Linked DNA regions of Mus musculus. The protein of the gene in region 1 interacts with the protein of each later gene in a pairwise test. Links are inferred from orthologs where the notes say so. Each region holds a gene or a part of one and is shown in the gene's direction. Other genes may lie near its edges.

Region 1 (6,037 bases):
TTCTCTTGCAGGCACAGACTGAGGTGGCACAGCTTCCAGAGCTCCCACCGGCCGAGCCTCAACTCCGTGTCACTGCAGATTAACTGCCAGTCTGTGGCCCAGATGAACCTGCTGCAGAAATACTCGCTCCTGAAATTGACGGCCCTGCTGGAAAAGTACACGCCTTCCAACAAGCACGGCTTCAGCTGGTAAGAGAGCGCAGCGCGCAGTGAGCAGTGAGCAATGGCCCTGGGGGGATGCCATCACGCTCCCTGAGGTTGTCCCCAGCACTCAGCATAGGACCGTTCTGTCCTCTGTCAATGTCACCAGTCCATCAACCTTTAAGCAGGTGGTCTCCACATCCTCCAGGCTATGTTCTCCATGCTGCTCAAACTCCTGGAGCCTCAGGGAGTTAACTGCAGGACTGGTTGGTTGGGTTTTCAGCCATCATGTGGTTGCCTGAGATGCGTTCAGGCCCTTGTTCATGCTGAGCCCACACTCCATCACGCTGTTGGTCAGTTTTGATTGAAGGTTTTGAGCATGACCTGAGAAATCTACCTGTGCTAACAAGTTTGGGGTTTTTGTTTTGACTTTGGGGTTTTTTTGCTTTGTTGTTTATTTAGAAGCGGACCTTTCTGGCAAAAATGCTCAGAGAATAATAAACTTAAGTAGTTAGCTATAATATCTTACATATATACTGTTTCTTTGTGTTTGAGTTTTTGGTTTTTTTTTTTTTTTTTTTAAGAATTATTTATTTTATGTATGAGTATACTGTAGCTGTCTTCAGACACACCAGAAGAGGGCATCGGATTCCGTTCCAGATGGTTGTGAGCCACCATATGGTTGCTGGGAATTGAACTCAGGACCTCTGGGAGAGCAGTCAGTGCTCTTACCCACTGAGCTATCTATCTCTCCAGCCCTTTGGGTTTTGGGGGGTTTTTTTGTTTTTTGTTTTTTGTTTTTTGTTTTTTTTTTTTTTGCTTTAGTTTGTTTGTTTGTTTTGGTGTTTTAAGACAGGGTCTATCTGTTTTATAGCTCTGTTAGTCCCAGAACTCATAACTATATATACCAGGCTGGCCTTGAACTCAGAGATTCACCTGCCTCTACCTCCTCTGAGTGCTAGGATTAAAGCCATGTGCCACCATGCCCCACCACAGAGCAACTATATTTTTAAAATTGAAATGTATTAGATGTCTAACTCTTCATAATCTAGAATCCTCAGCCTTGAGTGTAAAATGTGGACAGTCAGGCTGGATGGGTCGTGGGCAGGATATAATTCCTGTCCATAGTCAGAGTTTAAAGACAAGAACTGTATCTGGATCCAGGTCTCTGTTTCCAAGTGTCACAGGTGTCCCTGAATCTTTTCACATCAGGGTGCTTGTAGTCCAATTGTTATGAAAACAGATGCAGCCCATATCAGTAACCAGCCAAAATGGTAGAGATGGTCTGAGGCAGGGTCCACTGTTCCTCAATTCTCTGACTCCTCCCTCCTAGGAATGTCCAGGGGTTGTAGTTGTGCCATCAAAGCACCTCCCTAACCAAGGCAGTTACATGAGCCTCGCTAAATACAGAAGTTGTTTGTTCTGAATGACAGAAATACGTATTGACCAGTTTATCCCAGAATGCTTCAGATTCTCAGCGGGGAGTGTAATGTGTTCTTTCCACATTCCACAGCCTGGGCCCTTCACGCACAACAAAGCGAGCTTTATGCACACTTCTGCCTCTGTGCCCTGCTCCTAACTGTATGGAAATGCAAATCTGGCTTTACTCTCTGCCTTTTCCTTTTCTAGAGCCATCAAGAGTGGCACACCATGGCCGCGGGCAAGCACCCAGAAGGCAAGGCAGTTGGCTTTCTGTGGTCTCCCTCTGTGCTTAGAGTAATATTTTCCTCACTGCTATTTAAAACTGCATATTTTACATTCTCCTTTCAGGGTTGTCTACCCCCTTTCTCACCAAACCCTCAAAAAAAAAAAAAATCTACAAGTCCACCCTCCCACTTACTTCACTTCTGGTCAGGTTTTCCAGTGTGTAAAAACCAAAATGTAAATGCCTGGCATTGTAGAACTCGGACAGCAAGGAGCACTTCTGCCCAAAGTCCCTTTCCTGTTCGGCTCTGCCCTTTCTGGTCTCCCTCAAGGGGTCACTTGTACCTGCCTGACATCCTTAAATGCCTGATTTGGGTTTCCTGCTGTCGCATATATGGCTGGGCACAGCCCTGCTTTCAGGATGCCTGGCCGCCTTTGGGAGCTTCACAAAACCCCCATTGTGCCTTTCCCCTTTCCCATAGAAGCCTGGAGATGCTGTATTCTTTGGAGTCATCGGCAGGGGAATTTATTTTGACTCCAGATCCAGCCCTATTTGATCTCTGGCCTAGGTTCCCAGTATGACAAGACAGTTAGCCTTTGGCTGGTTTTTACACAATGTTACCCGGATCTCCTTATAAATGAATCAACTCAGGTCTCTTCCAAGAACCCAGAAGGGATTCATACCCTTTTAGGAAAAGTGGGAAGTTGTTTCTCAAGCTCATATCAGAAGTACCTAAATAGGGTGTTACATATTTTTTGCCTCTTCCTTCCTGTACTGTTCTCGTGTAAGGAAGTCCATTAGCCTCCCTGAGGACCACAGACAACCCTTCTCAAGATTAACAGGAGCTAACAGATTCCCCAGATGAGGGTATTTGTCCAGGTCTTTTAGTTCCAGCTCTTCAGATATCTAGACCGACCAGAGTGGGCTACATAATAATAATAATAATAATAATAATAATAATAATAATAATAATAAAAAGTCTTACAAAAACAAAGGAATCGGGGAGACATTAGGGCTGTAGCTCAGTAACAGAGCACTTGCCCAGATAGATTCCAGAGTCTCCAAGTTTGATAACCAAAAGCACTTTGCCCACCCGCCACCAAAAAAAAAAAAAAAAAAAAAAAAAACCACACACATTCCTATGACATTGTCCAGTAATTTGGAGCAGGGCGTTTTACACTCATATAATGTATTGTGGCAGCTACTGACCCAGTAAAAGGTCTTTAATGTGGCTACTACAGCTACAGAACGGAAGAGGTCACTTTATTTTCATTTAAATAGTCCCTGTATTGACAGGGATCAAATTCGTGGTGGGGGGAGGGGTTGAAAAGAAGGGGGGGTAAGCAAATTCAGACAAGTGAATGCTTTATCCCCTCCACCCCATCTTCCTTAAACAGGGCTGTGCCCAAGTTCATGAAAAGGATCAAGGTTCCAGACTACAAGGACCGGAGTGTGTTTGGGGTCCCACTGACTGTGAACGTGCAGCGCTCAGGACAGCCCCTGCCCCAGAGCATCCAGCAGGCCATGCGCTACCTCCGTAACCACTGTCTGGACCAGGTGAGTACAGCTGCCTGTGGATCCCACTCGTGGGAGCGGAGCTTTGGGCTGCATGGTTTTTTTTCTAGTTTCGTGGGGAAGGGTCCTGCTTCCACACCCATCCCTGCTGTTCTCCTTCCAAAAGGTCGGGCTCTTCAGGAAGTCAGGTGTCAAATCCCGGATCCAGGCTCTACGCCAGATGAATGAAAGCGCTGAAGATAATGTCAACTATGAAGGCCAGTCTGCTTATGATGTGGCAGACATGTTAAAGCAATATTTTCGAGATCTTCCTGAGCCCCTCATGACGAACAAACTCTCCGAAACCTTCCTGCAGATCTACCAGTGTAAGCGTTCTTGGTTCTTCTTAAGGCAACTGATGTCGGGTTCCATGGGACCAACTGAAGCACACAGCCTCTTTGTATGCCATCCTTTTGTAGAGAAAAACCTGCATGCTGATCTTCTCGAAAGTTACAGTGTGTGTGTGTGTGTGTGTGTGTGTGTGTGTGTGTGTGTGTGTGTCTGTGTGTGTGTCTGTGTGTGTGTGTGTGTGTGTGTGTAATAGGTTTACTGTATCCTTACTAAATAGCTTGAGAAGTACTTTTATGACCCACTGTATGTTGTTGGCAGAGGGATTGTGTGTAGCACACATAAAGTACTGAGTTTTCTCTCCAGCATCACATAAACCAGGTGTCACGGTGCAGACCTGCAACCTTAGCACTTTGGAAATGGAGGTGGGAGGATCAGTTCAAGGTCACCCTTGGCTGCATACTGAATTTGAGGGCTACCTGGGTCTCATGAGACATTGTCTTCAAAAGAAAGAGAAAATCAGTGTTGCTATTGAGTCAGGAAGTACAGAAGTCAGTTGTACATTTTTACCATCAAGTCCACTGTCATCTTTCGTTTATCTAGAGCAGTAGGTGTTCAAAAATAGGGTACCAAAATGGTATGCTGGCCTTCTCCCTCTCCCTTTTCCCTCTCTGCCTCCCTCCTCTTCCTCTTCCTCTTCCTCTCCTCCACTTTCTCTACCTCGACCCCTCTCCCTTCCCTTCCCCCACCTCTCATTTCCTTCCCTGCTCCCCATCTATATAGACTTCTCATTTACTTTATACTTCTCTAACAGGGCTGTGGAATTCAAATTTTTCTCATGTGTATTTTATCTCCCTGGGAAATGAATAAAATAATCCTCTTTCCCCTTTTCCGGTTAATCATCACCGTTCCTCCCATAAACACCTAAGGAGACAATACGCGTGCCCTCCTCACTTTTAGGCTCGGCTTAGGGCAAACCATTGAGGAAGTGAATGATGAAGAAGAGGACCGTGGCTTTCACAGCCTCCTCCTCTTTCTCTGGGCTCGTGACGTCAGAGCAGCATGATTTAAAAGCAGCCCCGTCTTAGTGCTGAAATAAGCTTTAGAAGTGACGTGCTGGACTTCATTTTATGAGAAACGGAGCTGGTCTGGACTGCTTCAGGCTCTCTCTCAACCTTTCATATTTTAGGAAAACACAGGTCACTTCCCCCCACACACACACACACACCCGCCCCTGCTGAGGTATTTGTTATGCGTCGTAACCATGGAGCCCTTTAATCAGTTTGTCTTAGGACCTTGCATTTAAGTGACTTGCTTTTTCCACCACTTGCTTTAAAGAAAATTTGCCTGGTGAATGAGACCGGAATGCCAGGCACAAACTTATTCCAGTATAAGTTATTCTACAGGGTGATGTGCACTTTGATACGTTTGCTTCTTGGTGTACCTTCTAAAAACTTTAAACGTCATTATTTAAGCTCTGTCTATTGAAATTGGCTTCATGTTTTTCCACAACCTTTCCCCATTTAAAGAATGGGCAAATGGGTCAAAATCGGTCTCCAGAGATACTGAGCCCTTTCTGCTCAGCTGAGCAGCCCCTGTTTTTTAATGTCTTGCACGTGTCTCACATAAAACATTTTATTGAAACTACACAAAGTCTTTAAGGTGGAATGATTTTGATAATTAAGATGGCAAATTAGAGATTTTTTTTTAAGTGCTTAGAAGTAACAGTTCTGTACGCTTAAGGCGCGTGTCATCTGGAGCCGAAGTCTGAGGTCGATTTAAAAGCATGTTAGTATTGTGGGTGTTTCAAATGTTTTAACTCCCCCACAAGGCAGGAAATACTTGAGGGTAGTGACGCCGGTGGCAGCCCATAATTTCTCCCTTATTAATCTTTAGTATGCTTTCTACAACTGCCCGTTCAGTATTTGATGCCCATGTTTGCTTTGGGATGTGGACTTGCCCACGTGCGTGGAAAATTACTGAGTTGGTGGTGGCAATGCTTGTGTCCTGCAGATGTTCCCAAGGACCAGCGCCTCCAAGCCATCAAGGCGGCCATTATGCTCCTGCCCGACGAGAACCGGGAGGTTCTGCAGACACTTCTCTATTTCCTGAGCGATGTCACAGCGGCTGTGAAAGAAAACCAGATGACTCCCACCAACCTGGCTGTGTGCCTAGCTCCGTCCCTCTTCCACCTCAACACCCTGAAGCGAGAGAATTCTTCTCCAAGGTACAGATCAGATGCAAGGGGCATGCCTGGGCTCTGTTCCCATGAGGTATCACTCACCTTCTAGAGCCTTGTCCTTGTGTCCTTATTGGATTCTTATCTGGACCTAGCAAAGGGGGTTAGTCCTGGAATTAAGTCCTCGTATGTCACTGTAAAAGATGACTTGACACAAACAACTTAAGGGAT
Region 2 (6,037 bases), on another chromosome or scaffold:
AATCTCAATGTGTTTAATAAACTGTTTACTCTAGTAGAAAATGAATTACTAATCTACTATAAACAGGTAAGAGGTTTATGTGCAAGTTTTCCAAAGTTAGTCTGTAAGTTTGCTTTATAAGTTTCTTAATAACTTCGTTTAGGCTTCCCTATGTTGAGAGTAAATGTTATGGTTCTAAGTTTAAGTTTTTTGTTTATAATGTAAGTTTTCTAAAAAGAATTTTTTCTTTCAATTAGTGGTTTTGTTTTTCTTCGCCTTATCTGCCCTGCTATCCTGAATCCACGGATGTTTAATATCATCTCAGGTAATTACCTTTTAATATATTTTCAAATGAGAAAAAAATCTGTATTTTCATATTTGATAAAAATACTTGCCTTTTAAATCAAATTAAAAAAATTCAAGATACAAATAAAACTTGCCTGCTTTGTCTTTTAGTATCTAAGATTTTTTTGTCCTGTGACTCATTTTTTTTATTTTAAAAAGTCTACATTGTAGTCACTTGAGCACGTGTGTGTGTGTGTGTGTGTGTGTGTGTGTGTGTGTGTGTGTGTGTGTGTATATATGGGCATTTGCTTGTTATGGAGCATGTGTAGGGATCAGAGGTCAGCTCTTGGGAGATGACTGTCTCTCTTCACCATCTGAGTGCCTAGGATTGAAATCAGGACATCAAACTTGGTGGCAAGCACGTTTACCACTCTTGCTGGCCTGCTGGCTCTGACAAGTGTTTGTAGGAGATTAGGAAGGGCTCTTGTTCTTGTGTCCTTTGCCTACATCAGGTTACTGTAAGGTAAACTTTCTGCTAAGATCAGGTTAAAGACCTATGTGCAGCCACATTAGCAATCTGTGAACACTTACAAAGATAGCCCAAGATTCTTTTTAATAAGCTTGACCCCATTTTGCTTTTCACTCACTGTCCACAGGACAAAATTTTAAGATTTGTAAGCTTAAGAAAAAGTATTGATGTTTCTTACTCTAATGTTGTAATGAGTCCATTAACATTAATAGAAGGAAACAGTCATTTGCATGCTATACTTTGAACCTCAAATCTGTATTAAAATTTATTTGAGGTGGGACTTCATTCTGGAATTCTGTAATCCCAGAACTTAGGAGGCTAAGGTACAAAAAAGCCCAAGACAAACCTGGGCTTTGTAGCCAGACTATGTCACTAAACACAGTGGTATGTATCTACAATGCCCATATGCATGAATGGTGAGTCTAAGAGTCCCCCTGATCTTAAAATCAAAGGGAAGACCATAGTTTTTTTCACTATTATTATGTTTATACTCCTCACATTCCTGCAATTTTTATTAATACTAAGGTGATTGAAATGATGCATATTAAGAATAAAAGACTGGGTGTAATGGTTCAGTGTTTAAGAACATACACTGCTCTTACAGAGAACCTGAATTCACTTCCAAACACCCATGGCAGGTGGCTCACAACCACTTATGACTCCATCTCCAAGGGATCAGACACTGGTCTTGGTTCTGTGGGTAGCTGCACTCATTTGTACATACCCACACCAAAGTATACATAACTTTTTTAAAATTAAAAGGCTTAGAATTTTTGAGCGCTCTATCTAAACATTGGCCTTAAACTGCCACTTTAATACAAAACAGTGAGTCAAAATGTTAATAGTTGCTGGCTGAGAATGTAACTAAGCTGGTGGAACACTGGCAGAGTATACATGAGGCCCTGGGTTCAACCCCTTGTACCTGATAAGAGATCAGAAACTCAAGGTTGTCCATGGACATGGGTGGGGCCTTAATTGTCAGTTTCTGTTTGGTAGCTACAAATACTTTTCATTTACATTCCATTTTCTCTGTTCTACAGGGAACTGTTTCATGAACTCAAAAACTGATGTATAAATTGAGCTAGTTGCCTGCAAATAATGTTGGGAACAGGGAATTGCTAAGATTGCAAAATGCTCCCCTATGTGGGTTGAATTAGCTTTGGGCATGGTCTGAAAGTTTTTAGAGTGAGAGTCTTCTTAGCAATAAAGCAGCTTTTTGAAGTATTCTGAAATATCAGCCAGTTGGAAATTACTCCTTTAGTTTCCTTTTCACAAAACAAGCACTGATAAGTATGTTCAATTTTCCCTTTTAATTCAAGTTCTTTTGAATTAAGTGATATATTTTCAAGGACTATTGTGAATATATTCTGAATAAAGGATTGTTGGCACTTTTAATATTTCTTTAGTGTTAATACTAAGTGTTTGACCATTTATCTGAAAGTAACCTCTGGAGTCGGTGTCATTGGCTATACCCAATTTTCTTCTAGATTCCCCATCTCCTATTGCTGCAAGAACACTGACATTAGTGGCTAAATCTGTGCAGAATTTAGCAAATCTTGTGGAATTTGGAGCTAAGGTAAACATATTTTGATAATTAAATTAATAACATTTTAAATGGAAATTTAAATTCACAATGAATATATACCAGATCTTCAAAACATGATTGGAATGATATAGTTATCTGCTTTTGTGACTTAGTATATGACATATTTGTTCATAAATTCACATGTACATACCACTAGTCAGTATGCAGTCCTTTAACTGATGTTCAAATGTAACAAGTATTCTTTACACTTCCATTCAGACTTGTCCTAAACTTTGGGGTATGGTTAATAATTAAATATACATTTCAGGCTTTTGTCATATATTCCATTTTCCATTTTTGGTTATTATTATTTCTTGCCAGATTCATTTTTTTCTAAAAAGATTTATTCACTTTTATGTGTATGAGTGTTTTGCCTGTATGTGCGTTAAGTGCACTGGTATGTACCTTGTGCCTACATGGGCCAGAAGAGGACAGAGTATATTATATTATATTCTCAGGAACATAACAGTTGTAAGTCACCATCTGAGTGCTGGCAAGTGAGCCCTGGTCCTGCTCTGCAAGTGTAGCAGGCGCTCTTAATGCAGAGGCGTCTCAGCAGCCCACAGATCCTTATCTCTGTTCATCTGCTGGGGGTGTTCGTGTGTTTCATTGTTGTTCTTCCAATTTCATGTCTACATCTTTGGGATTTCCAATTGAATGTTATCCCATTTGAAGCCTGTTGTTGATACTTTACTAACTAGAAATTATAAATTATAGTGGGTTAGGATTTTAGTTTAAGTAGTTTACATTTATGGGTTATTGTTTGAAATTTCCTGAAACCCAAAGCGTATTTTGCAGTCATAGGGAGTTTTTGGTTTCACTGTATTTTATTTAATTCCTTATAATGTGTTGGATTCTTCATAATTTATCAGTAATTAATTCTAAATCTATATATAAACAATTTGGGTCTGCCAAGCTATATGTTTAATGATTTTTAATTTGTAATTTAATTTTGAATCTTCATTAAATACCTCCATTCCTCCCACGAAACTGTTTATATTAAAGAGAAATTTTGCATGAATAAATACTAATTCTTGCAACATGTATAGTTTTTGTTGTAAAACAGTTCTTTTAAGGTATATGAGATGGAAGTTTTAAATTTTTTAGGAGCCTTATGGAAGTTTTTAATTTTTTTAGGAGCCTTATATGGAAGGTGTCAATCCATTTATAAAAAGTAATAAACATCGCATGATCATGTTTTTAGATGAACTTGGGGTATGTATATAATTTTCAAGTTCTTTGAGAATGAGCTTAGCCATATGAGTAATAACCTTTAAATTTTAAAACCAGGACTTCAAAATAAAATCTTTTCTATCCAAAATGTCTTTTTCACTTATTCTTGTTTATATCAAGCATACACAATTGTGGCTTTCAACCAGTCATCTTTCAGGCTGTCTTTTCATTCATACCCTTTAGCTATTGTTGGATTTAGTAACCTTTTAAGTTGTAGCTGAAACAAGATTTGAAGCCATTTATATTGGAACTAAAGTTAGAACTAAATGAAATAATATAATTATTATACCTCACTTGAGCTTTTATAAATTAAACTGATACAAAATTGAACATATTCATAATTTCTGAGACCCTAAATAATAAAGTTAAATTTTCTACCCCATATACATTTCTAACACTGAATGAATTTTTAAGTAAATATATTCATAATGTGGTATGTATACACGGAGACCAAGGTGAAATTAGCACGCATGTGTGAGTTTAGCCAAGTTTGTCATCAAAAGTATAGGCGATTCAGTTGTAGTAGTGTATTTCGACTCAGTGATTCATTTTAAAACAAATGTCAAAAGCCCTTTTTGGCAAACAAATGGGGTTAGAAGGAAGACCGACAACATAAGTTCTATATTTATAAGAAACATTTATGTGAGCTTCTGCAAAGATTCTATTAGGAGTACTTCTAATTATTGGCATTTAATGCAATAATACGGTATTATACATTTATTATGATGGCTAAGTTACTTCATGAAGGTTAAACATGTTAATGTCCAATAATCCCATATTTTAGAATTATCTTGAGCACAGTCTATAGAAATTGCAAACAATGAATTTTTATTATACTTTCATAATTTAGTTCTTTAGATGTTGGTTAATTTAGATAAGAGTACTGTAGTAGTATTCAGTCTAGGAGTTTTAAGTTGTAATGGTATCATTTATTTTGCATATGCTCTAAATTTAAAAAAGATTCACACTGTCATTCTATGAAAGTTGAAGAACCTGGCTTCTTTGTAAATAGATGTCCTATAACCCATGTTCAGCAGAATTACTTGAATAAAAATTTTTGTACAAATTAATGTTTTATACCTAGTTAGGATAACTTTAGAAGAGACTACAAGGGTTTTTATTTCTAAACGCAGTTTTATGATTCCCTTAAAGAATGTACCTGAACTTCCGGACACTACAGAGCATTCTAGAACTGACCTGTCTCGTGACTTAGCAGCATTGCATGAGATTTGTGTAGCTCATTCAGATGAACTGAGAACACTCAGCAATGAGCGTGGTGTACAGCAGGTAGGTTTTACATGGCAATGTTCCTGCTTTATAAATGGTACATGTAAAAATGGCAAGTGAGTTACTGTCAGTAGTAAGAAGGCATGGTACTCTTTCAGTTACTCTCATACCAAGTGTGTGAGCAAAACTACTTGTGAAGCACAGGAGAACTATATAAGAAATGTGAAAAATAACTACAGAGGATACATTATTATAGTGATTCAAGTTGGTATGGTACATAACTCATACCTTAAAAATCAGTCCACATTAAGCTTTTGCTGTCCAGTAGAACTGTAAAGATACTTTAATTGATTTAGTGATAAGTTACTGGAGATAGTCTCTCTTAAGCTAAGGTAGTTAAATGGAGAGAAAAGGGTATCACATAGGAAAGGATAAATCAAGATAGACCATCCTAAGTCTGATTAATTAGCCTGCGAGGCTAGAATCCAAGCAGTCCTAACTAGTTAAGAGTACAATTGGAAAATATTGCTATTGTTTAACTTAGATTTTTCAAGATTTAATAATGACAAAATTTAGTGTAGTAAGACCTTCTATATTTTGGTTACAACTAAAAATACTCAGTTTATGTCTTGAGTAGAATCTCAGTCCTTTGATATAGTTTTTATCAAAAGTAATAAATCCTATAATTGAAATTTTAAGCTCTTTATTTGCTTAGTGATTTTTTTCCTCACTATTTCTCCTGTGTCTAGCACGTACTGAAAAAGCTTCTGGCGATAACAGAACTGCTTCAACAAAAACAAAACCAGTATACAAAAACCAATGACATCAGGTAGCAGCCTGTGTTCTGCGTGGATTCAGTATGCCCACCGTGGTAATTCACACCATCATGTCTCCTTTGCTCTTGCCAAAAAGAAAAAAATAGAGAAAGAAAAAAAATAGCACACTTTCCCACATTCCAGTGATGTGTGAGCTATGCAAGCAAAAACCCAAGATTCTGCTGAAGAGCAACTGCCAGCACCTTTGTAAGCTATCTGTGCAGAATATTGCGCACTTTTTCCACATGGAATCTCTACCAAACTCTGAGCCTTGGTGTACCCTTAACAACAACAAAAATGCTATGACTGACTGTGTCTTGAACTTTGAAAATATATTTTCAGTATATCCAATTGCCAAAGTTTTGCTGTCTCTTGGAAAAGGAA

The links.
Region 2: the proteins of Dlc1 (region 1) and Rasa1 interact in binary tests that used the Homo sapiens proteins (3 or more experiments, as listed by UniProt). The link is inferred for Mus musculus from reciprocal best matches to the Homo sapiens genes DLC1 and RASA1.

Annotation. Positions count from the first base shown.
Region 1 is NC_000074.6:36,576,852-36,582,888, reverse strand, and holds part of Dlc1 (rho GTPase-activating protein 7), read left to right. Parts: intron 1-11; coding exon 12-188; intron 189-3,182; coding exon 3,183-3,342; intron 3,343-3,466; coding exon 3,467-3,665; intron 3,666-5,640; coding exon 5,641-5,854; intron 5,855-6,037. UniProt on the Homo sapiens protein: Functions as a GTPase-activating protein for the small GTPases RHOA, RHOB, RHOC and CDC42, terminating their downstream signaling.
Region 2 is NC_000079.6:85,215,738-85,221,774, reverse strand, and holds part of Rasa1 (ras GTPase-activating protein 1), read left to right. Parts: intron 1-236; coding exon 237-304; intron 305-2,280; coding exon 2,281-2,369; intron 2,370-3,515; coding exon 3,516-3,593; intron 3,594-4,763; coding exon 4,764-4,898; intron 4,899-5,587; coding exon 5,588-5,671; 3' UTR 5,672-6,037. UniProt on the Homo sapiens protein: Inhibitory regulator of the Ras-cyclic AMP pathway. Stimulates the GTPase of normal but not oncogenic Ras p21; this stimulation may be further increased in the presence of NCK1.